Linked DNA regions of Danio rerio. The protein of the gene in region 4 purifies or fractionates together with the protein of the main gene of each other region. This does not show direct contact. Links are inferred from orthologs where the notes say so. Each region holds a gene or a part of one and is shown on either strand. Other genes may lie near its edges.

Region 1 (5,250 bases), on a different chromosome or scaffold from region 4:
CCTTTAGGAGTTTGGTTGATAAACACTGACTTACGCTGAGCATAATTAGCAGAACATACCGTTATTTTCTGTGCAGTTGTTAAATATTTAAATTTAAATTAAATAAAAAGTTATTAATCTGTAGCTAATCTGCATGCTGAACAATGGGTTGCGATCCATACATGGATCTACTGTGATCTGTTGCACACTTATAGAATATAGTTCAAAACTCTGTATTTCTGTAAAATGGAAAGGAGCAGTGTGATCATTCTTTAAAACATCTACTTTTGAATTCCACGGTTAATGCAAGACAGTAGGTTAGTTTAAAACAACATGATCATTCATTTATTTCCCTTTGGCTTAGTCTCATATTTAGAGGTTACCACTGGAGAATGAACTGCCAACTACACCGGCATATGTTTTACACAGTGGATGCCCTTCCAGCCGCAAGCCAGTACTGGGAAACACCCATACACGCTTACATTTACACTCATACACTACAGACAATTTAGTTGATTTAGTTCCCCTGTACCACATGTATTTGGACTGTGGGGGAAACCAGAACACCCGGAGGAAACCCACGTGAACACGGGGAGAACATGCAAACTCCACACAGAAATGTCAACTGGCCCAGCTGGGACTCAAACCAGCGACCTTCTTGCTGTTAGGGGACAGTGCTAACCACTGAGCCACCGTGCCACCTATAAAATCTTATAAATGGACCTCGTTTTTGGAAGATTTTGTTTAAAAATGACATCACCCTAGTTCATATTTTGATTTCGCATCTCTCCCGCTCTTACAGACTGTGTTTTCTCTCTCTTTAGTGATCCCGAAAGTGCGTCTGGAAGCTCTACACATGAGTGGAGTCGATGACATGAGCACTCAGGATGTTTTTGGCTACTTTAAAGAGTATCCGCCTGCACACATCGAGTGGATAGATGACGCTTCCTGTAAGTACACCCTCACAGATATTATTACCACAAAGTGACAAAATTATACTTGATGAATGGCTACAAATCTGAATGGGAAATAGGCCTAGTTTTGTTTAAAGCTCGATTGTGGTGTTCATAGTCAAATCTCACTGTTCCCAGGCAACGTGGTGTGGCTCGACGACATCACTTCCACCAGAGCTCTCATTAACTTGAGTCGGATGCCAGATAAAGAAGAGGTCACAAACACAGACAGCTCGAAACCCTCTGAACTTCCTGTCCAGACGCAGAAAGGTTCTTATTATTTGCTTCATTGTGTCACCTTGAAATAAACACTCCAAATCCGAAACAAAAATTGTGTTTTAAAGGTCCCATAAAATTAAAATACAGTTTTGTAGATGTTAGTGTCAGTATTGTTGGTTTTTAAGATATCTATAAGCTAGTGTGTTCCAAAAAAGTAACAAAATTTGTGTTTAAAAGATGTAAAACTGATATAAACATGTAAAGCTTGTAGTTTGTCTCTTCCACCTAAATGGAGCAATGGTTTTATTCAGGTCACCGCATACTACAGCTTCTTGTCAAATCATATCCAATTAAATGCTCTTTAGTATTTGACAAACTCCGCCCCCTTTAAGCTGATTTTCATTTTCTTTTCATTTGTTGCACTTGAGCTCAATCACTCTCGCTGGAGCAGAGTGGTGATGAAAACAAAACACTGTTGTCTGTTTTTAAAAAAGGGGGAGGAGCTTTATAATGTCCCACCCTCTCTTTGTGTTTCGGTTGAGATTACATCAAACATCCAATAAAAAAAGCACATCTCAAATGAGACATTTAAAGTTGAAACAAAACTGTCATGTCTTTTCTGAGCAGCTCGACGAAGCCGTGGGTCTGATGATGATGATGACGATGATGAGGAAGAGGAAGGTGAGGTAGATGATGACGATGATGATGATGAGGAAGATGAGAAGGCTCGTGACATTGAAGATGAGACTGAAAAGAAACCACAAGAAACCAGAGAGGTAAAGTTTTAGTTTTATCATTTAGAGCATTGTTTCCATTTATTTTTTTCCCTAAGATTAAAAATGTGTCATGAACCATTATAGTGCAAAAACCTGTATTTGTTATATGGAAAGGAGCAGTGTGAACATTCTTTAAAACATCTACTTTTGACCTCCACGGTCCATGCAAAACAGTAGGTTAGTTTGAAGTAACATGAGGGTGTGTATATGACAAAATAGTTCATTCATTCATTCATTCATTTTCCTTCGTATAATAATCATCCACCTGCCAGCCACCTGCACATATCATTTTATCTGATATATCAGCGTGGATTGTTCGTTATTAACACACATGCATCCACGAGACTAGACCTAACTTCCAGTGCTATTTATTGCTGTTCTGACGAATATAAGAACTTACAGTGCTTGTCTGACTTTGAGTTGACCGACCTTTTGATTTAGCACACACGTTTTATATTTGAGGTACCTTCTTGTGGCTTTCATATACATAAAGCACGTCACAGCCGTTGCATATTATATATGATTCATCCTCATTAACCACTTTGCTTAAATACTCCCCCATTGCATTTTTCTTTCCTTCCTTTTGTTTCTCTCAGATTGGTTTTGCCTCCATTTCTACTTTAACAAAAGGACCTCCACCATTTTAAATTAGCCTGCAAATCAGGGTCTGATAACACATTTATATTTTACAGAATGTGTAAAAATACAAAGCAAAAATCATTAATTATTAAACTCATCCACCTGCAATTAATCATAATGTATTTTTTTATTACTTGACCCACAGATTATCCACAACGTCCGTGGATATAACCTCCATCTGCGCATCACTAGTTGCCTCGCACTGCAACATATACTGTTTCACTCTCCGTTCAAGTCATAGTCATTTGACGCTGAAAGCACTGCATTATGAAAACAATGGCCCGCATGATGTGTGGACTGTTTTTATTGCTGTTGTAATCTGTATATTTTAAGTTAATGAGTTAAATTTACAGTCTTGTAAATTAACTTTAATATTAATGAATAAAATAATAAAAGATTATTGCCTAAACCATTTTCGGCCAAGCGCATCTTGAAGTTTTGGCTTAGGCTTAAAACTTTCATGCGCATAGTAACTGAAATTGTATATATAAGGCTCTTTAGTGAGTTCAATAAATGGATTGAACATGTTACTAGAGGTGTGAGTTTGCGTGTTCTCCCTGCGTTCGCGTGGGTTTCCTCCGGGGGCTCCGGTTTGCCCCACAGTCCAAAGACATGAGGTACAGGTGAATTGGGTAGGCTAAATTGTCTGTAGCGTATGAGTGTGTGGATGTTTCCCAGGGATGGGTTGCGGCTGGAATGGCATCGGCTGCGTAAAAACTTGCTGGATTAGTTGTCGGTCTGTTGTGGCGACTCCAGTTTAATAGAGGGACTAAGCCGACAAAAAAATGAATGAATGAATATATATATATATATATATATATATATATATATATATATATATATATATATATATATATATACCGATGAGTGACACGGGAGCAACAGCAGCGATTACAGTCTATATGTGCATAATACGCAGTTATCACAGGTAATCCATAACAGACACAGTGGAAAAAAGTCAAGGCACGCTCGTGTCTGGATCCACAAGTGTCGCTTTAACAGCCAAGAGGAGAGGAAAAGTTACCTCACAAACACGCCAGCGGGTCAAATGTCCAAAGTGAGAGAGAGGCAGAGATGGATTTTTACAGCATTTCTCCCTAGCAGTGAAAACATGGCTCGTGTGCTCTGCCTTCTTCAGTGTCAATATAAGACTGTCCAGCAAACTCATAAGCAGTTGAAATGTGCATAATTATCTACCTTTTAAGTAGTAGGACTGTTTTATTTACTCGCACTTGCCTCCTTCGCCAAAGTATTTTACTGCGACATCCCGCATAGGAGATAAATGACGTCAGTACGTAATAACCGGTTATGATCTATTACTGAACCAATATCGAATTGTCCCTATCTGCATCGCGGTTCACCGAAGAAACACTTCATTTTGACATCCCATATGTGTTACCTTTCCTGAATGTGAAAATAGGTTCCCTTACCTTGCATACTTTATATTGATTTATTTATTTATTTTCATTCTAGACTAGCCTGTCTCAAGCAGAGCGAGATTCTCTCCTTCAAAATGAACCACGACCCACAGTCAAACCCTTCAAAGGCAACAAGCTCTTCTTGCGCTTTGCCACCCATGGTGAGAAACAGACTTGAGTGTGTCGCCTACAATTAGAATTGTGTCAAGAACTCTTCATTGCTTGATATAGAACAGACTGTACACAAAACGATATTTGCATGTTGACACTCATTTTCCATCAGATGACAAAAAGGAGTTGGGTGCAGCCAGAAGAAGTCGATACTACATGAAATATGGGAATCCAAACTATGGTGGCATGAAAGGCATCTTGAGTAACTCTTGGTAAGAAAAACTTTGATACTTTTGGTGGAATAACATGTGGCACCTGCTAACAAACACCGCTAGGACAAGATTCCAAAAGATGACTAAATGTTCACGATAGTATTTTTTTTTCCTGCCAGTATTAGTAAGCAATGCCATTTTGTTGTGTACGACATGCATAGATGAGTGCTTCAAAATAAGGTTGTCAAAAGTATCGAGTTCAGGACCAATCGGTTCTGAAATTTTTAAAACAACCATTTCCCGCTAACATTTAAGTGCTGTTCTTATGCAATGCTGGTTGGCCATTGTGTTCTGGTGCTGAACAGGAATGACTGTGATTGGCTGTTAAGGTGATCGCTTCACCAGCCTTCACTGCTGTTCACCAAGTGCAAACACAGATACTGGAGTGTCAATCAGCTGTTCTGTGTTTTAGCTGACCTAAGAATGATCCGATGATGGATTGACTGATCTACATGGCTTTGAAACTTCAGTATCCATGCATCTGTATTTGCACTTGGTTACATATTTTTTGGAGATTTTTGTTTAGGCTAACTCATTAGCAGCTCTTGCGGGGTCAGTTGCATGGTAAGAGACCTAAGATGGGATTGTCAGACACAATTTAAGATTTCTGAAGTAATGATAATGATAAGATATGACATTGTTAGACAGGATTAGAATCAAGAGTCAAGATTTGCTTCTGTAATATGAGTTAATGAAAACTTTAGTGTATTGCATCTTTAGATAAGAACGTTTCTGTAATACGCGCCCTGTTTACTTGTTAATTGTGACGTTACACAAATTTGCAACAGGGTTCAAGTGCACTATCAAACTGTATGGGGAGGCTCAATACATGTTAATAATAAACATTTATATATTAAACATGGTGCTGTAATATTTTGGAAAA
Region 2 (5,250 bases), on a different chromosome or scaffold from region 4:
GCTACTTATAATGAAAACATAATACAAAAGCAAGTTGTCTTGAATAAGCTTAATAGCAATAAAAAATAAAATATAAAATAGCAACAAATTGGTGTAAACACTTCTTGCGCCTTATTGCGCCAGGTGTATGATAGGGCCCAAAATGTCGTTTTCAATATTAAAACTTTTCAGTTCTCTCAACAAGCTCAACTGCTGCTGAGCCTTTTTAAAAACATTCTCTGTGTGTTTTTCAAATGAAAACAAAGTCAATCTCCACAACTAAATATTTAAAAGAACTCATTTCCACTTACTCCCCATTAATTAACAAAGGGTCATCGAATGTTTGTATTTTGTTTGTCCCAAATATGTGATTACTAACATTGTTTACATTTTTTTTTGAATGCTATTTTATTATAGAGCTGCTCTCTTGGAAATTATCCAGGATTTAGGATTATAATCTGAGCTTGATTTTTACCTCTGTGTGACTTTATTCATAGCCAAAAGGACGACACCCTTGCTGGAATACATCAAAAACAAGAAATTAGAGAAACAGGTAAGAGCACCATATCACTGCATATAACACACTGCGGTTTTGTGCTGTATGTACATCACCATGCCTTTCCATTCTAGAGAATAAGAGAAGAAAAAAGAGAAGAGAGGCGAAGAAGAGAACTGGAAAAGAAGAGGCAGAGGGAAGAGGAGAAGAGGAAACGCAGAGAAGAGGAGAGACAAAAGCGGAAGGAGGCAGAAAAGCAGAAAAAGCTCTCTGAGAAAGAGATAAAGATCAAGGTACGAGTTTAATACCATATTACATCCCATTGCTCGACTGTGCTTATCAGTACTGTAAAACACACACAAACACACGCAGTCATAACATCAGATTTGCATGTTGACTGCTTTAGCTTTTGAAGAAGTGTGACCGAGACGATGACGTGGATTCAGACAGACTGAAAGATAAAGGAGACAGTGGAGAGACGGAGAAGAACAGATGGGAAAAGCCTGGAGGACACACTAAGTCAAAGGATTCAAAGGATAAGTAAGAGCTTCCTAAAACTTACCCCTTCTTGAAAAGATATGAGTTAAAAATAGAGTTAAAGAGTTAAAAATAGAGTTTAAAAATTAAGGATTCAGATTTGTAAATCAACCAAAAGTTGAAAGTTGGGATGAAATTTTCCATTTTCTTAATAACTTTTTAAAGGGATGGATTTACTCGACCAGAAATAAAGATAATTTAAATAATATTTGTAACAGATTTCCAACATTGTTTGAATTATTTTCTTTTGTGTTCAACTGATGACATTCTATGTGGGTGATTAATTTTGTGTGGACTGCCCCCTTATTCATACTTTCCTAATTTTATCTTGTTAATTTCAATGGAAATGTCATAACTTTACTTTCTCTATTTTCCACAAGTGGAATTTTATTTTTGGCTTCACCACACAACCACATCAGCGTTCATATTACACATATCATAGAAAAACAGGCAACACAAATACATTCAGTGTCATCACATAAATCACATTAAAAACTCAATTAACCCTATTAATACTTAAAACCCAGTGTTTAAAACTTTAGTGGCAGTGGCACAAAGGACATTTGATAAACCTTTTTCTTTACTTGAGGTTGCCTCAAATCTCTTTTTGATGGCAAGAGCTGAAATCTTATATTTAAAGAATGGGAACAATTTTCAATAATGACCGTTTAATTCTCATTAAATAAATTTAATTTAGTTGTCTTTGTGCTTTACCTACAATTGCACTGGTCATTTTTACTACTCTACACATTTTTTTGCTTTTTCTAATTTACAACAGTCCATACCATGCAGTCATGTTAAAACTCACAATACTCAATACCCCAATCTGGTGATGTATGACAGACCTGTCCAAATTCCAAAATACACGAGCAGCCAATCAGCAGTAAGCGACGTGTCTAGTAATGATAGTGGAGATGTTAAAAAGTGTCATGTTCCTGTTAAGGAATGGCATGTTTGTTTTGGTGCTTTTAAATATCAATAATGTTTGCCAAAGTTACCTTTGTGCACCATTACACTCTATGGCTTCTTACAATGGACCACAAGCTCAGATTCATATCTGCTACCATTAAATCAAAAACTGATATATGGACTGATAATTCTACCATTCTTTATTTCTTTTTTGATGATAAGTTTCTCTAAGATGAATGTCACAGTGAAGATTAAAAGCTTTTGCTACTTTCATTTCCTTGCACTTTTGAAAAATTTGGGATTTTGATGCAAAATATAGGTTTGTGAAAGAAACAAATGTCTTTACACTTGTGTGTCCATCAATGTAAAACAAATGTTTACAGAGGACAAAAATGTTAGTTACTTAAGTGTCAGTAAGATTGCACAAAGAATATAGAGGCTATTTGTAGAATTCACAAATGCTTAGATTCCTCTCAATAAAATAAACAATAGTTTCATTATAAAATTTAAATAAATTAAGCTGCTAAGTTACTTTAAGGTACACCATTGTGTATCTATTTTTATACAGTTGAAGTCAGAATTATAAGCCCCTCAGTATATTTTTTCACCAATTTCTGTTTAACAGAAAGCAGATCTTTTCAACACATTTTAAAACATAATGGTTGTAATAGCTAATTTCTAATAACTGATTTCTTTTATCTTTGCCATGATGAGAGTACATAATATTTACTAGATATTTTTCAAGATACTAGTATTCAGCTTAAAGTGCAATTTAAAGGCTTAACTAGCCTTTCAAAAAACTGTAAATCTGCTTTTTTTCTAGCCAAAATAAAACAAACTAGACTTTCTCCAGAAGAAAAAATAATATAGGAATTACTGTGAGAAATACCTTGCTCTGTTAAACATTATTAAATATTTGAAAAATAAAATAAATACACATGAGGGCTAATAATTTTGACCTCACCTGTATATCGGGGTGTTGACTTCATGAAATGTGCCCTCCACAGTAGGAGCCAAATGGAAAATGACAAGGAGCAGCGTGAGGGCCACGGCCGACGGCAGAGGGACAAAGATCACCGTGGCCGAGATGAGGAACGTAAACGACAGAGGCATCACTACGAATTTGACAAGTTCATGCGACGCAAGGAAGAGACCAAATGGGGCAAAGGCTACTGCCAGGACAGGGCCAAGAAAGACCAACACCATGGGTATTCCTACTGCCCAGAGACTGGAGACAAACTGGGCAAAGAGGACCGAGAGGACATGGGCAGCAGGAAAGAACGCATCCGCAATAAGGTAAATCAAATAAACTATTACAGAGCAGTAGAGTAGCGATTTCACAGCCACAGTCCATTTGCAGCTCTGGTTCTGGTATTATGTACAGTTATCTGTCAGTTTGTCCGGTCTGTGTAGCAGATGGATCCACTAATGCATTCAATATTTACACATCTGTACTTGATTTATTCATCATTGTGTTCTGTGGGAAATGCAATACCAATCTGCCTCACTCCAGGGGCTTTCAATGCAGGCTACACTTATTTGTTGAGGTAGTTAGCTGTAATTTGGCTGTTGGCAATATTATTGACGAAAGACAACGTGTCTCTCAGTCTGTGTTAGTGCATCAGGAGAAAAGGACTTCCCAGTCTGAGGGGCCAGACCAGATAGGAGGGGCTCTGCCAGCAAAGGTACAGCTAGTTTTTGAGCCTTTCTACCCACGGGAGGGGATATGCTATACACATGTTGTATGCCTACAGTGTCAGGCGTACTTAATGCTGTAATGGCACAGATAAGGAGCAGTTCCCAATAGATAAAAGCACATAATGACTAAAAACTATGACTCTGTTCTAAAACCTATAGTGTGTCTATAAAGACAGCATTTTAAGGCATCTCATGTAACCTTGCTTTTAATGTAGAAATGCTCCAAATGGTTACAATTCTGTATTAGCTTTATAAAAAAAGATATAGTTAAAATATAGTTTAAAATATGTATAACTTGATCAACAGAAAGTTTAAGGATTTTGAAACATTATAAAAAATTATGTTATGTTATATTAAACAAATAATCATTTTAATTTATATAAAATATCCTCATTTAGGGATAAAAAAATAAATATAATACTGGAAATAAACTTAAATAAGGTTTAAGGATTTTACAATATTAAAACAAAGAACAGTTGTGTTATCATATAAGACAACGAAACATTTAAAGTCCTAAAAAATCCTCATTTGAGGAGAAAAATAGATGTGTACTTCAGAAAATGAACTTTATTCAAACTTTATTGTTTTATGTTTAATCCGCTTACATTTGCAAAAACTGTTACAACACAAATTGATAGTGTGGAACTCTTTTTACAGTGTTTATGTATTTTAAAACATCTTAAACATGTTTAAACATGTAAAACATGTCAAAAATCTCCTTTATGATGATTTTAATTAGCGATGTTGATGTAGAGGACTTGTTGATTCAAGAATAGATGCAATCGAATCAAACCGAATACATTTTTAGTGTAATTTGTTTACCTATTTATTAGGTTAACTAAAAAGGATTAGATTGCCTAAGAATTGGACACTATCATTTAAAAAAAACCATGAACATGTAGTTTTTATTAAGTTATAATAGACAGGCTCATTCTAAAAACGTAGCCTTATAAAGATTTCTGGAGATCGCAAATTATGTTGCCAGAGCTACGTATGACTGCATTTCATTTTTAAAATGAATGCTACGAGGCGGTATGATGCCATTCCTTTTCGCGCTTACCAGCTGAACGCTTACCTCTGTATAGACAGCTTTCCTGCTGTTAACAGTTTGTCCAGTAGTTTGACACATACAACGGCAGACTTGCGACGCAGAGGAGAGTTGACTGCGACAACGAGGTTTAAGTCCGGTGAAGAGCAGTTCCAGAAAGCAGGTAAGGCAAAAATAAAATAAGCAAATAAATAACAGAGTAAGAATGTGGTGAAATATGGTAAAAATCAGTGAGCTTTTTTTTTTTAGATTGCTTTTTAAAACTTTGGTTGGGTTCAGGGAAGGGGGTTGGTGGGTCAATCAGTGCTTTATAAAACACTATTTGTTGGGTTTAGGGAAGGGGAAGGGAGAGGGTATTGGTTGGTTGGTCAGTCAGAAAATCAGTCAGTTGACAGCGGCCTCTGGTGGATTTAGGTGAGAACAGCAGGCAGGAACGGCCCTCGTGAGAGAAATCTGAAAAAGCGTACACAGCGGCCTCTAGTGGATTTACAAAAACTGCAAAAAAAAACGTAGCGCCTGGGACATATTTTTCTCTCTCCAGAAATGTATATAGGGATATGTAATCAGAATGAGCCTGGGTTTA
Region 3 (5,250 bases), on a different chromosome or scaffold from region 4:
CTTGCGTATAGTCGTGCATTTATACTTCTGCGAACTGTTTGTGTTTTATTGCAATAACACTTCCAAAGCGCTAGCTGGCAATAGGTTTTTATGTGCTTCTGTGTTGTATTTCTTTGCTAGTGTTCCATATTTTTTTTAATTCTACCTTAATGTACAAGTAGCTAAAACTCGCTCGTTCAGAAGTGGTAACCGGCGCATGTGCAGCAACATTATGTATAGGGTAAACACAAAACAAAAGTTTCCATTTGAAGCTCCTTCACAGGACTCGACACTTGTAAACACTCACTTCAACGGGTTTGCGCAGCTCTTGAACCAGCCCACACTCAGCACAGCTACCAAGCCAACCAATCACAAAGTTTGCGCTACGCATTGTTGGAAAATTTTTGAGAGGTGGCTGGAGTATACACGTGCGCTTGGCACAGAAGTACATATCAGCCTTAAGACATCATCAGATAATAAGATAATTGAGAAAAACGAGGAGAGCAGTTGCTTTCCGTTTCACACAAAGCTGACGTGTCCGGCCATTGAGCGGACAGAGGGCAGTGTTTAGAGGCTGTTCAACTACATGAGCGCTCACACAATACAAATGCAATCAAATGCTTTTTTGGCCACCTCTTAATGTGGTTGAAAGTGGACAAGCTCAAAACCTTCAGACCCCCTTTACACCTGTATTTAGTGTTGTCCTCTTGTAATTGGACCAACAAAAACGATTCTTAATACCAGGTGTCTAATACAGAGCCTTAACAGCATGTTTCAATGGGACCAAAGAGTGACTCAAGAAAGAGACTAGGATAATTTGCAACAGTTTGCCCTTTCTAAGATACATTTGGATATCTGAAAGGGAAATGCACTGTGGTCATTCACAGGCTTTACTGCAAAATACAGTTTGATCTATTTGAATACAGATTTTATTTATGCAGCTTACATGCAACCCATGTGGTATGGTCTAAAATGCAGTAGGGTTTAAAAACACAGCAATCTGGAATTTACAATCTTTAGTCTTGAAATAATGTTTTGCTTAAATATGATTTGATTGAATTTATACAACCTTAGGCTAAAGTACCAAACATGTGACATGTAGATTGATTTCTGTAAGAGTTCTTTTAAATGTTTTTTAAGTAATTCAGACTTACCAAGCATTTATTTGATCAATGTTTTTCAGTTGTATTCAGTATCAAAAAATAATAATGTTTCGATGGTTGTTTGGACTGCTGGTTGTTGTCAATGACCCAAAAAATCTTTGGCGAGCCAGCCAGGAGCTATAGCTGATTTTTGGATCTTGTTTGGATTAAGAATTATTTTAGTGATGAGAATTGGCTGGCACCGTGTTACAGCTGCTTAGTATTGCAGGTGGTGATCTTTGTGAAGTCGGTGCAGCGTTGTATTGCTCTCGCTCAGTTGCTGGTGGAGCAAAATTTCCCTGCCATTGCCATTCATAGAGCAATGCCCCAAGACGAAAGGTAGAAAAAACTATTTCAATTCATTTTAGAGTTAATATTTATAGATTTTAGGGAGCTTGTATCATATTTTATTCTTATTTTTTTCCCCCCAAGACTAGCTCGATATCAGCAATTTAAAGATTTCCAGAGAAGGATCCTGGTAGCCACTAATCTGTTTGGCCGAGGTATGGACATCGAAAGAGTCAACATTGCCTTTAACTACGACATGCCTGAAGACTCTGACACGTACCTGCACAGGGTTGGTGCTGATCACGTGATACTGTTTTACTGTGACACTGTCCAAAAGCGTTATTAAACTGGCTGGTAGTGGATTCACCTGAACTACTCCAACTTTTCTCGTTCTTCAGGTTGCACGGGCTGGCAGATTCGGAACAAAAGGTCTGGCCATCACCTTTGTGTCCGATGAAAATGATGCCCGCACTTTGAATGACGTTCAGGACAGGTTTGAGGTGAACATCAGTGAACTTCCAGAGGAGATTGACATCTCATCATACAGTGAGTGTTAACATTCAAACTTTAAAATGTACAGAACAAGATGAGAACATTTCTATATAGGAAATCAAATCGATAAATAATTCAGTTCTCCACATACGAACTACATAACAATGGACTAAAAACGAAAGCATTTCATTTGATTTTTGAAAAGTGTTTGGGTTACAGATGATCTGTATTATTGAGGTCTGCAGTACTTGGTCAGTATCTTGACTAGTGTTGTCATGATACTGCAATTTTGGTATCAGTCTTTACTGAAATTTAAAGAGCCCCTATTATACATGAAATATGGTCATATTTTGGTTGTAAGGGTCTCCAACAACAATCTAGTATGCATGCAAGGTCAAAAAACACTTTAATGGACTTATAATCTGCATTTATTTTTATCTAATTATCCCAGTGACTCCCATATGAATCGTTCAGTGATTCATTTGTTCCCAAACCCCTCCTTAGCGCGAAGCTAATCTGGGCTGATTGGACCGATGACAGCCTGCTGCGATTAATCAATACTGACTGCCTTCAGCGAGAGACAGAGTCAAATGCCCAGCAGCTAATCAACAATATAAAATCACAAATAAATACATTTGCAGGCTAGAGTAAACAAGGCAACAACTTTAATCGCAGGTACTTACACTTGTGAAATGGAGGAAGAAACCGATCCTTGTTCTGACATAGTCCAGCAGTACTCTTTACTGATCCTTCCTTTAACAAACGGCCGATGAAGTCTTCTTTATAAGCATGTAGTTTCCAGAAGCACTCAAACTGCACAAGGCTGGGATAATGCTGAGGTTTCATCTTTGGGTAGAGACTGTCAATAATATCCATCTGCGCAGAGTGACTTCAATTGACCGGCGTGCGTGCGCGTGTGTGTGTGTGTGTGTGGCTTTAGAGGGCGGGACCGCAGGTTTAAAATCTCCCGGGTTTGCGCGTGCAACTATTTGTGTTTTGTAGATGCGTCATCGCGAAACACCTAATGACTCGTTATCAAGACAACTCATTTAAACCACTATGAGTCGACTCTATTATAGCTTAATTAACAGTTTTAAACACTGTACACTTACAGATTTAAGCCTTAATTGAATATTTCACTTCACTTAGAGCTGTTACACACTACATGGAAGGCAATTTTCAAAAACCCATAATATGGGCTCTTAAAAAACGTCTATTTTCTGCTAATTTATAAGCCCTGTTGAGCGCATTTTTAAACACTGCAGATTTGTCAATATGACATTTTGATCTTTAGTTTTAATCTTTCAGTCCATAATATTGTAGTGATATTAACATACTGTTAAATTAGTAACTAAAACATTTTGACTACTGCTGACGATACAAACTGACTTTGCCTCTAAATAAACATAAACAAAGAACACTGATCACACACTTACCAAATCTGCAGAGACAGGAGAATCAACACAAACTGGAGCCGCGTCTTTTTTTAAAAGAAGTGGAGTGGCAAATCCAGATTTCACTTTCCAGATGCGAAAAGCTCTCCGGGACAAATGTTCCTTGCAAACATATTTTTGTTGCATGTTAGCAGACCACTGTAATCCACACACGAGCTGTGCTCTCTTGCGGTTAATTGAAAACAAAACCTTCGTTGCGGCACATTTATAAACGCAACACTGACAATCCATGTCTTCGAACAATTCTTCTTCTTCCACTTGTTTTTTTCACGGTTGGCAACGTGGCGTCTCTCTGCGTCTAAACACTTTAACAGGTAAAAAGAGTCTTCAAAGCTACATCATGCATAATAATAAAGTTGCACCTCATACAAAATAGAGTGTGCTGATTGGTTTGAACCAGGTCTTTCTCATGAATTAATGATGAAAGCTCAAAGACGTCACGTTGTACCAGCCGGTACAGACATCCAGTCTCCACGCTGGAATTTACACATGGATCTCATAGCCATGACTGCTTAAAAATTTCTTTTTAAACCAGAAGAACAAATTTGTTCAAAATAACGCAAAAACAACCAATTTTCAATTATTTTTGTGAAATATGTGTGTCTTAATAGTGTTTTTAGCAGCATGGGACACACATATGTATGACTGTATACACCTTAAAAAATGTGTTTTGGTGTTTCATGATCCTTTAAAGCTGCAAAGATTAGCTGGTCTGTATGAGCTGACATACAGGCGATCCACTGATGTATCGACTGATTTTTGCGGCTTTAAAATGCTCCAGTGTCCTAGTATCTGTCTTTGCACTCAGACAGTGGTGAACTAATAACCTTCACAGCCAATCAAAGTCATTTCTGTTTACATAAAGGCGCTTAAACGTTTTTACATTTTCAGTACCGAAATTCCAGTATCGTGACAACACTAATCTTGACACACACAAACACAGTCCTGCAGTCCACCATTGTTGTTTTGGTTCTTTTCATATTTTCATTGTTCTATAAAATGTTTTCTGTCAAAACAGTTATTATTTAATCTGAATTTGTGCATTCACTTATTTGTTTTTCTCCTTGTTTTCTCCTAGTTGAACAAACACGATAAAGATGACAACACTAAATGCAGGAGTTTCTTCAGAAGGATGCATGGGATTGTAGCATTTGATAGCAATTGAGTTTGTATTTCACTGTTCCAGTGTTAGTGAATACTTCTATGGCTCACATCGCTGCGTTATCCAGTATTGTGGTGGTTTCCTGACGCCTTCTTGGTTTCGTTTTTGCTTATTGAAAGTTAATAAATGCAATATTTTGTTTTTTATGACTTTTTTTCCTTTCGATATGAATTATTTTGTGTTTGGGATGTTTGTTTTTACTTTGTTTTTAATGAAGAGATATACTTTATCATTTCTGTTGTGAGAGGAAGAGTTCTCATTTTTGGATTATAATGGGCTACACAGTTGACTGCAGTGAAGTAGAATTGATCAAAAGTTACTAAATATATTAGCAGTGTATGCTGAATGCTTGTTACCAGTGGAGTAGGTATTTAAAACAATGTTTGTTCATTCAGTTGTCAACTGGCAGGCCACTTTGTTTAAACTACTCAATGCTTGTTAAACCAAATAAAGTATTGTTTGATTTACATATAGTTTTCATCAGCATTTTTTCCTCATACAGTGTTCATTTACTGAGCCACCTGCTTTGTGCTTATAGGAACTAGACACCAGGCAGGACCCACAACATCCTACTGGTTGCATTCATACTGCAATAGGAACTTTGAAATAATGTAAGACCGTCAATAGCAACACTATACAAATGTTCAATAATGTTTACAACTAGAGAAAACTGATCCAAGCTGCGTTTTGCAATAAGATTTAATCTTGCAGCATGCTTCCACTACAGCGTAAA
Region 4 (4,423 bases):
TAGCCTGCTATTTTTATTTAACGGAAGAAAAAACGTGATTGGACAAACAACATCTGCCGGTTCTTAAAAAGGATTCAGTCAGTGTTTTCATTTTGTATTCTAAACTTGTCATTTAAGTGAAAGATATCTAGGGCAGGAATATTTTTTGATTCTTTTTATTTAGTTTATTCTGTTTTTCCTAGCCGTTGGAAATGCTGCAGGTGCTTGAAGATGTGCTGATGTTCTGTATGCTGTTGTTCACATGTTAAAATAAATTAGTATTTTAAAATGCTATATTTAATGTGTCGGACACAAAATAGACACATCATTTTTTTGATTACATAGTTTAATATTAATCTGACCAGTTAACCGTTACTATTCAGTTAACAAGCGGCGGATGGCAAAATTAACTGAAATGAACATCCATATTTCAGAAAACACAGTTACATATCAACAGCTGTTTTTAATTTAACAAGTACTTTTTTTTTTTAAATGACACAATTAAAACTTTGTCATCACACTGTTATTTTAATGTAAGCATTAAGTGTAAGTGAATTAGTACAGTAAGGACTTTTGTGGTGCTACATATGCTGGCAGTGTAAATTACAAATGTGCTTGATTTTAAAATAATAGTACTTTAAAGTGTCTTTGAATCTACTGTTTATAAATGAATGTTATCCCTTCACATTACATTGAATATACTTTGGGTTTACAAATAATCCTGGGTTCTCATACGCCTTGCTTTACATTTCACACTGTAGCATTCTGAACCCTGCGTTGGCATTTTTATTTGCAGTATGATTGTCATTGATTGGAAGTATACAACATGACATGGCTTCAACAAGAAGGATCTAGTATTGCATATGCTCATACTATATATGAGCATACATACAACATGTCATTAGTCGGCCATGTTGGAGAGCAGAATGTAAACAATGCCACAGAACCAGATGAGACCTGCATATTTTTCATACTGTATTAATTAGTCGGGCATGGGAAAAAATAACTTTAGTAAGTAGTTTACTATAGACTGCCAAAACATTAGTAATGGTTCCATCAATATGTTGTGCACATTTTAGATAAGGTCTTTATAACTTTCAGTTGATGTGCTGTAAGAGAGACCCACTGTGGATTTGATCTGCATTGTTGCGCTTTTGTACAAAAACAATTATTTTTGTTTTCAGCCCTTAGCTTAAAAAAAATATTCTGTCAGATTCTGTCTTGCCTTAGTGATAGAAGAAAATTTGTTAGTTTACTGGAAAAGATATTGTAAAGCATTTGAACAATTGTAACTTGTTTTGATGTGATTTCAGCTGTTGAAGGATGGATTCTGTTTGTGACCGGTGTTCACGAGGAGGCAACAGAGGAGGATGTCCACGACAAGTTTGCAGAGTTTGGAGAAATCAAGAACTTGCATTTAAATTTGGACAGGAGAACCGGTTACCTTAAGGTAAGATTTTCTTTTTTACTTTTTTGGTTCAGTAGCATATACACTCACAGTCCACTTTATTAGGTACACCTTACTAGTACTGGGTTGGACCACATTTTGCCTTCTGAACTGCCTTAATCCTTCATATCATAGATTCAACAAGGTACTTTATATATAAATATTCCTTAGATTTTGCTCCATATTTACATGACAGCCTCACACAGTTGCTGCAGATATGTCGGCTGCACATACACGATGCAAATCTCCCGTTCTACCACATCCCAAAGTTGCTCTATTGGATTGAGGATCTGGTGACTGGGGAAGCCATTTAAGTACAATGAACTCATTGTCATGTTCAAGAAACCAGTCTGAGATGATTCACGCTTTATGACATAAAGTGTTATCCTGCTAGAAGTATCTCCCAGAAGATGAGTATACTGTGGTTATAAAAAGATGGACATGGTCAGCAACAATAGCCTGTGGCGTTGACACGATGCTCAATTGGTACTAATGGGCCCAAAGTATGCCAAGAAAATCTCCTGTACGCCATTACACCACCACCAGCCTTATTCGTTGATATAATGCAGGATGGATCCATGCTTTCATGTTGTTGACGCCAAATTCTGACCTACCTATCCGAATGTCACAGCAGAAATCGAGACTTGTCTGACCAGGCAACGTTTTTCCAATCTTTTATCGTCCAATTTTGGTGTGTCTTTGTGAATTGTAGCCTCAGTTTCCTGTTCTTAGCTGACAGTAGTGGCACCTAGTGTGGTCTTCTGCTGCTGTAGCCCATCTACCTCAAGGTTGGACATGTTGTGTGTTCAGAGATGCTCTTCTGCAGACCTCGGTTGTAAAGTGTGTTAGAGAATTGAACAGTATTTGAGTTACTGTTAGCTGGAACCAGTATGGCCATTCTCCTCTGGCACCAACAAGGCATTTGTGCCCACAGAACAGCCTCTCATTGGATATTTGATCTTTTTCAGACCATTCTCTGTAAAGCCTAGAGATGGTTGTGCGTGAAAATTCCAGTAGATCAGCAGTTTCTGAAAAATTCAGACCAGCCCGTCTGACACCAACAACCATGTTCAAAGTCACTTAAATCACCTTTCTTCCTCATTCTGATGCTCGGTTTGAACTCCAGCAGATCGTTTTGAACATGTCTAAATGCAGAGAGTTGCTGCCGTGTGATTGGCTAATTAGAAATATGTGTTAATGAGCAGTTAGACAGGTCTACCTAATAAAGTTAATAATAAAAGTGAATAAATAAATAAAATAATAAAGTCAGTGTATGTAATGATAGTCTGGGTAAAAAGTAGGGGTGTCACGATTTCGATTTTTAATCGAAATCGATCGAAATTTATGCTCAATTTCGATTATCGAATCAAAAAATAGAATCGTTGAGGCTGCCACGCCCCCATGTCACATCAGCTTGGCTTGCCAAGCGGGAAAAAACAGGCTTGTTGAAGTGCTTGTTAAACTGCAGAAGCAGCAGACCCGTCGACAGAACTTAAACCCTCTCCTCTTTCAATGAAGTCGCCGGTGTGTAAGCATTTAGGATTTCCAGTGAGTTATGTTGACAACGTTCGTGTTGTCAAAAAAAAACACAGTTTTGCAAGCTCTGCTATGTACGTATTGCGTACGTTTCGTCCGATAGACAACACCGGCATCGCGATCCTCCGCCCGCCCCCGTTGCAAATCCGCTTGCGAAAAGTACACACTCAGGCCCTGTTTACACTGTCTTTGTTTTTAAATGGCATTTTAGAATGACAACGATTTGACATCCACAGTGGCGTGTAGCATTTCTGAGCAGCCCTCCTTCCTCTCTACCTCTGACAATGCACATCAGGTGACCACACAGACACAGACGCATACACAGCCATGCGCTCGAGACAGCAGGTCCAGGCAGTCAGAGGACTGCTTCAATCTTTCACTCACTTGTACTTAGTCATTTTAGCGAACACCTCAGATACTGTTGGCTAGTTCCTGTTGGATGTGCGTCTTTTTTTACAGATGCCATTATAACGACACAATCACTGCCTATTCACGAGTCCCGCAGAAAAAGTGATTGACAGGTGGTAATTATGTGTGTATCTTGCCTTTATTCATTTACTGTATGATTTGTTTATCGGTAAAACAAAGACTATGCAGGTCAGGTAGTTTAAACGGTAGGCTACAAATAATTAATTGGTCATTAATTAATTAATTATTCATAAAAATTAGAAAATCGAATCGTGCCTTTAGAATCGAAAATGTAATCAAATCGAGGATTTGGAGGATCGTGACACCCTTAGTAAAAAGACTTGTATATGTGTTTGTGTATAAAAAATATATATTTGCTTTAGGAGGGAAAAAAGTTCTTTCATATGACCGGTGGAAACTTTTGCAGTAACTCTAAGTGGTTGTAGATTTCCCTTACTGGAAAAATAATTTTTCTTATGTAGAGGAATTGATGAATCAGAAATCGTGCATGTTCTCGATGTTGTCCAGCAGATGGTGGTGTTTTATACAGAACACACAGTTTGACTTGACTGTGTGTTTCATTTGATTATATTGCTGTTTCTTATGGAGCCTACTGAAATTTCTCATCGGATCATTAGTTGCAACGGCTTTGTTTGTCCAGAGATGTCCATTTTAGAATTTTGCTTTTATAATAAATTTTAAAGCTCATTCTGTCTGCATTGTTTACATGTCATATTAAGTATTGATTATTCAAAACTTTCATATCTAAGAAATCTAATCATGTTCCATTAAAAATATACTCTTGAACTGGTTAATTTGCATTATGATAATATCTTGGGCATACTGTATAAATTGGAGAGTTTAAATGTTGTACATTAGAAGTATTTTGTCTATGATATTATCCTAATTGTTGTCTTTAATAATAAGCAAGCTGATATTGCAGATTGTCACTACAACAAACTTATTTATTTTGTTTTCTTATGATGTTTCTCATCATTTGCTGTGACTCATAACTATTGAAGTTGTATTTCTAGGTTTTTTTCAAGCATAAAA
Region 5 (5,250 bases), on a different chromosome or scaffold from region 4:
ATCTCCAGCTCCTCAGTGCTGTTTCCCTCTCGGCTTTCTGTAACACACAAGCACACACAATTATTAGTTCATCAAAAACATATTAGTCCTCTCCATTTAGCCATACTCGAGTGGTTCAGATATTCTGGAGAATGTTTGAACAAAGCAGCATTTAGCTAGTTTCCATCCACCTAATTCTGTGCACATTTTCAAATATTGCATAAAAAATGCCTGATGCTACCTTTGCTGCTCTGGCTGCTCTTCTCGTTGTCTTTGAACAGGATTGCAGGAACAAACGCTTTCAGATCCACCATGTTCTCATAGAAGTTTCTTGCATCTTCATCCTCCCAGATTCCTCCTTCTAGATCATACTCTCCTGGCTTCCCCGGTGTGAAGATGTCGATGCCTGGACCGTGCTCTGCCACACAAAACACACACGCTGCATGTTGTAAAATACCTTACGATAATACTTTTGCATTATTTGGATTTGCCAAATAGAATAAGATCATATTAATTTGATTAGTGTTATGCAATGGTAAGAACTTGATTTGAACTACTTAAAAGTGGACGTTTTAAAAAAAAAGCACACTTATGACTGATTTTGTGGTCTCATATGTCAACACAAACTCTCTATGGTGCGGTCGCACCTTCCTGTACGGTTTTGTCCTGGGGCAGTTCCGGCATGTTCTCGTCCAGCAGGTCGGCCAGAGTCTGAGTGTTGGCCAGCAGCTTCTGGTACTGTGTGGCGAACTCCTCGTACTGCTTGTGTCTGTCCTCGCTCAGCTCGCCTTTAGAGTGCAGGATACGTCTGGACACACACAAAACACATGTACAATTTTATAAAAGTTGTTTTTATACCTGTGTGTGCTGTTGGGTCGTTCTTTATCCACTCTGGGGTAATTTTTAAGGCTTAATTTGGCCACAATTATCTCTGTGTTTCAGCAAGTTTAATGATTTTGCTGATAAATTGTATTTTGACACATATTTTGGGAAAATGCTTTGGAATTATTCAAAAACTCAACAGTAGACTGGCCAAATTTACTCCCCTTTGGTTATGTTGGGGGCTGTTTTTACCCCATTGACTTCCATTATAATAAAATTTTTCGATTGCAAAGCCATGACAGTATAATCATGCATTCTTGATTGATTGTTGCTGGTTTTCCCTGTTGGAAAGACCTACAATTTGTCATTTTTATGTATTTGTCATTTTAAGTCTCAAACATTATATAACAGGGCTGCATGATATTGGAAAAAATGACATTGTGATATTTTATTTTTCTACAATAGATATTGCAATATTTAGTATAATTTCACCATATAAAATAAATAGACCTATTTGGTAGGAATTTATAATTGTAGATACATTGGGATGATTTTATAAGAGAAAGCATCTGCAAAAAATACAATAAACCAATTGCAAACATTGATAAATACAGTGAAGCAATGATACTGTACTAATGAAATGCACAGTGCTTTATGATTTTCTGAAAGTCTAGCAATCTTCAGATAGACACATTTTAAAATGTAGAATAATACTATAGTTTTAATATTTACATAAATATAATAATCTTTCATAAAGTTAGAGACATCCCTTTTTATGCCTGGATAAACTTTATAGTTAAACATTGCAATGAAATTAAATACAGCTCCTGGTCAATTATAATTAGAGATGTAACTGATTTCACTATTAACCGCAATTTAATTTGGCATGGTTAATTCATCATAAAGGCTTCTCAACAGCATGTTTATGCATGGAACAAAACTGTGACAAAACCGCGAGTCACGAGACAAGAACTGCTCTATACTTTGTAGGGATTTTACACATCCATACAAAATCCATACACATGTCAGTGGGCGCCGTCTTTCGGATGAGACGTTAAATCGAGGTCCTGACTCTCTGTGGTCATTAATAATCCCATGGCACTTCTCGGGAAAGAGCAGGGATGTAACCCCAGTGTCCTGGCCAAAGTCCTTCAATCGGCTCTTACGATCATGCCCTCCCAACCATCCCCTTCCACCAAACTGGCTCAATCACTGTCTCTCCACTCCACCAATAGCTGGTGTGTGGTGAGCGCACTGGCGCCGTTGTCCTGTGGCTGCCGTCGCATCATCCAAGTGGATGCTGGTGATGGTGTGGAGAGACCCCCCTCATGATTGTGAAGCGATTTGGGTGTATGGCCATACACAATTAATGCGCTATATAAATACACATTACATTACACAATACATAATATAGTTGATCAAAAGTGCCTTTCAGACTGAGGTTGAGGAGCCTTTGTCTACATTTGTTTACTTTAAAAGGGAAATTCTTATCTAATATGATGCTTAAATTTACATTAGACAAATACTATTTTTTATCTCTTAATTTACATATGTATTTGTTATTCTGTCATTTATTTTCAGTGTAAAATTATTACTATTGTTTAAATGCCAAAAACTTTCACTTATTTTTAGTTCCAGAGAATTATTATTTTTTTATTTATTATTTTTATTTTGTGCAGTATAAATTGGTTACTGAGCAGCAATAAATAACACTTTCAAATAGGAGTTTTCATGTGATTTACTAAATTAGTAGTGTTTTGAAATTAATGCATAATAATGATGATAATCGTGAAACCGTGATTACTCCTCAGACTATAATTGTACAACCACAATCTATAATTGTTGCATCTGTTGAAATAATAATATTATGCAGCCCTATTATATAACATTAATAATGTTTTATTCCGATTGGCTACAGAACAAACCACTGTTGTCCAATGACTTGCCTAATTAACCTAACATGCCATTAAATGCACTTTATGCTGAATACTAGACTCTGGTACAATAACTAGTTAAATATTATGTGCTGTTATTATGACAAAGAATAAATAAACTATTTATAAAATATTATAAGCTTAAAAATGTTTTACTTTTTAAACTATATTTATATTATATATCTCTTCTTTTTTTAATGCAGATTAAAATAAACATTGCCTCTCCATTAAACAGCATTCAGGAAATGTTTTTAAAAGAACATATTTTTAGACAAACATCGGCATATTAAACATTTTATAAATAAAAAAGTAATTAAATATGATATAAATATTTAATATCTTATTTGTAATGCAGATATGAAGAATGTGAACTGATCAGACAACAACAGACCTGTTCTGCCTCTCGATGTTCTGCAGCTCCCGGTGGTCTTTCTTCAGGTGTTTGGTGAGCGAGGTGAAATACTCGCGCAGCAGGTTCTGGAAGGGCTGCTGTTTCTCCGCATTGATGATCTGGCTGGGAGGGAAGGACAGGCTGTACTTCTCGGCTGCGTTTTTAACTTTGCGCGGCACCAATCCGGCGATGTCATCTCCACAGTGCTTACAGAAGCTGATAATGACGGAGACGTGAGTGTGAGTCTCTCGATCGGCAGCGATTATATTTTTCAGCTGCTCGTAGATCAGCGACAGGCCTTCTTTATCCGTGAACAGCCCTACAATGGTGAGCTCTGCGATGAAGCGCAGGTCGGTCCGCAGCTTGCTCACATTAGGCGTCTTCTCCTCTTTACGTGCCTCAAAGTGTCTCTTCCAGGCGGCGAGAAGAAGTGGTGCGAACTCTGCGTATCTCTGGTGGAAAAGCGAGCAGAGATGAACTGCACAGCCTACATCGGAGATCTTCAGCTTGGCCTCCACCATAGAGCTCACGGCCTCCCCGATGTATTTGCTGAGGTTGAGTGAGTCGAAGTCCTGCGATAAGGAGCCGCGCTGTTGTTCTGTGAGCGTGCGGAGCTTTTTGACAAAAGCAGTGTTTTTCTTGAGGCTGGAGTCCAGGCGGCTGAAGAAAGCCTCTTCTGGACGGGTCTCCTGAGCGTGCTGGTTCTTCACTCGCAGGTCTTTTCGGCCATGGTGTCGCTCCCAGGCCTCCTGCTGGAGCTGATCCGCTTCCTCCTTTTCTCTGAACACACACACACACACACACACCATTTGAAACAGGGCTGCATGTTATTTGAAAATCTGATATTGCAATATTTGATTGTTCTGCCATATATGCACAAAACACACATCAGAAACATGCATGGCCTGCAATACAGAGTTTGTAGAGATCAATTTGCGGCCATCATTGTTTTATGAAGGTAAAGATAAACACTGCAGTCCTCTCACCTGATCTGTGCGGCCTCCTCCTCCCTCTGCCGTTTGGCTTCTTCCTCCAGCAGTTTCTTCTCCTGTTCCTCCAGCTGTTTCTTCTCCTCCTCCTCCTTCTTCCTCTGCTCCTCCTCAGCTCTCTGCTTCTCCTCTTCTTTCTTCTTCCTCTCTTTCTCCTCCTTCTTCCTCTTCTCCTCCTCAGCTCGTCTCTTCTTGTCCTCCGCAGTCTTTCCTCCGTCCTTCTTGCCGCTCATCTTGTTCTCCTCTTTGTTTTTGTCTCTGGAAGCGCCGCTCGGTCGCTCTGCGTCTCTGTCCTTGCTGAACGAGCCCGTCTCTCGCTCCTCCATGTTGACGGACTTCTTGCGCTCAGCAGGCATACTGCCACTGCACAACACAAACAATAGTTCACTATGACATGGAGAATATACATTATTTTAAATATGCTTAACATCATGCCATGCTGCTTAAAAAACATTTAGCACTTTATTTATTTATTTTTTAAATATTTACTAATTGAGTTTTACCATTTACAATTTAAAGCAGTACATTTCGCCTCTCCTAGCACAACCAGGGCATTAAAAAAAAAAACATGAAAATAAAAAATATATTGTTCCAGACTTTCTGAGTTAACAGTGAGAAAACAGAGTGCACCTTATTTGTTCAGTCCATATATTATCATTTAACATGAGAGGCTTAACAACATCTAAACAAAGAAATATCCAAGAGGTGCATCTAAATACAAAAAACAAACAAACAAACAAAAAAAAAAACAGGTCATATCATCTTGAATCACAAAACCTTTCAGATATATTAAAGTTACCAGTAAGGGAACACATTAATATGTTATATTTTTAGTCAATATGTTATTTGAAATGAAGAGTTTGGTAACATTCAATAAGTACAAAATAAAAAACAACGTAGAACACTTTAAACAACTGAAATGAGTTCACATTAAATAAAATTCCGTTAATTATATTGTGCACAACATACTGTTTTGCATTGCAAGGTACATTTTACACATTTTTAAAAATCACATGTTGAAATGCAGAGTTTAATGCTGTCTTGTGCATCCATTTTTACTAAACATTTTGCACTTTAAAATAAAGTGTATTAAAATATATTGTAAACAAAACATTCAACTGTGTTTTAATTCAAA

The links.
Region 1: the proteins of rbm8a (region 4) and ncbp3 purify together in Homo sapiens (co-immunoprecipitation; 3 studies listed by BioGRID and IntAct, with this or other methods). This does not show direct contact. The link is inferred for Danio rerio from reciprocal best matches to the Homo sapiens genes RBM8A and NCBP3.
Region 2: the proteins of rbm8a (region 4) and upf3a purify together in Homo sapiens (co-immunoprecipitation; 4 studies listed by BioGRID and IntAct, with this or other methods). This does not show direct contact. The link is inferred for Danio rerio from reciprocal best matches to the Homo sapiens genes RBM8A and UPF3A.
Region 3: the proteins of rbm8a (region 4) and ddx39b purify together in Homo sapiens (co-immunoprecipitation; 4 studies listed by BioGRID and IntAct, with this or other methods). This does not show direct contact. The link is inferred for Danio rerio from reciprocal best matches to the Homo sapiens genes RBM8A and DDX39B.
Region 5: the proteins of rbm8a (region 4) and upf2 purify together in Homo sapiens (co-immunoprecipitation; 6 studies listed by BioGRID and IntAct, with this or other methods). This does not show direct contact. The link is inferred for Danio rerio from reciprocal best matches to the Homo sapiens genes RBM8A and UPF2.

The regions. Positions count from the first base shown.
Region 1 is NC_133196.1:33,668,983-33,674,232, reverse strand, and holds part of ncbp3 (nuclear cap-binding protein subunit 3), read left to right. Parts: intron 1-803; coding exon 804-929; intron 930-1,070; coding exon 1,071-1,202; intron 1,203-1,778; coding exon 1,779-1,927; exon of another isoform or gene 1,928-3,379; intron 3,380-3,427; exon of another isoform or gene 3,428-4,039; coding exon 4,040-4,145; intron 4,146-4,267; coding exon 4,268-4,367; intron 4,368-5,250. UniProt on the Homo sapiens protein: Associates with NCBP1/CBP80 to form an alternative cap-binding complex (CBC) which plays a key role in mRNA export. NCBP3 serves as adapter protein linking the capped RNAs (m7GpppG-capped RNA) to NCBP1/CBP80.
Region 2 is NC_133184.1:36,596,173-36,601,422, reverse strand, and holds part of upf3a (regulator of nonsense transcripts 3A), read left to right. Parts: intron 1-476; coding exon 477-532; intron 533-609; coding exon 610-768; intron 769-881; coding exon 882-1,015; intron 1,016-2,928; coding exon 2,929-3,217; intron 3,218-3,528; coding exon 3,529-3,606; exon of another isoform or gene 3,607-4,830; intron 4,831-5,250. UniProt on the Homo sapiens protein: Involved in nonsense-mediated decay (NMD) of mRNAs containing premature stop codons by associating with the nuclear exon junction complex (EJC) and serving as link between the EJC core and NMD machinery.
Region 3 is NC_133194.1:29,769,534-29,774,783, forward strand, and holds the end of ddx39b (DEAD (Asp-Glu-Ala-Asp) box polypeptide 39B), read left to right. Parts: intron 1-1,350; coding exon 1,351-1,460; intron 1,461-1,553; coding exon 1,554-1,698; intron 1,699-1,807; coding exon 1,808-1,955; intron 1,956-4,433; coding exon 4,434-4,450; 3' UTR 4,451-4,986; downstream 4,987-5,250. UniProt on the Homo sapiens protein: Involved in nuclear export of spliced and unspliced mRNA. Component of the TREX complex which is thought to couple mRNA transcription, processing and nuclear export, and specifically associates with spliced mRNA and not with unspliced pre-mRNA.
Region 4 is NC_133191.1:50,393,781-50,398,203, forward strand, and holds part of rbm8a (RNA-binding protein 8A), read left to right. Parts: intron 1-1,292; coding exon 1,293-1,429; intron 1,430-4,423.
Region 5 is NC_133179.1:1,379,650-1,384,899, forward strand, and holds part of upf2 (regulator of nonsense transcripts 2), read right to left. Parts: intron 4,479-5,250; coding exon 4,113-4,478; intron 3,907-4,112; coding exon 3,127-3,906; intron 788-3,126; coding exon 627-787; intron 398-626; coding exon 221-397; intron 38-220; coding exon 1-37. UniProt on the Homo sapiens protein: Involved in nonsense-mediated decay (NMD) of mRNAs containing premature stop codons by associating with the nuclear exon junction complex (EJC).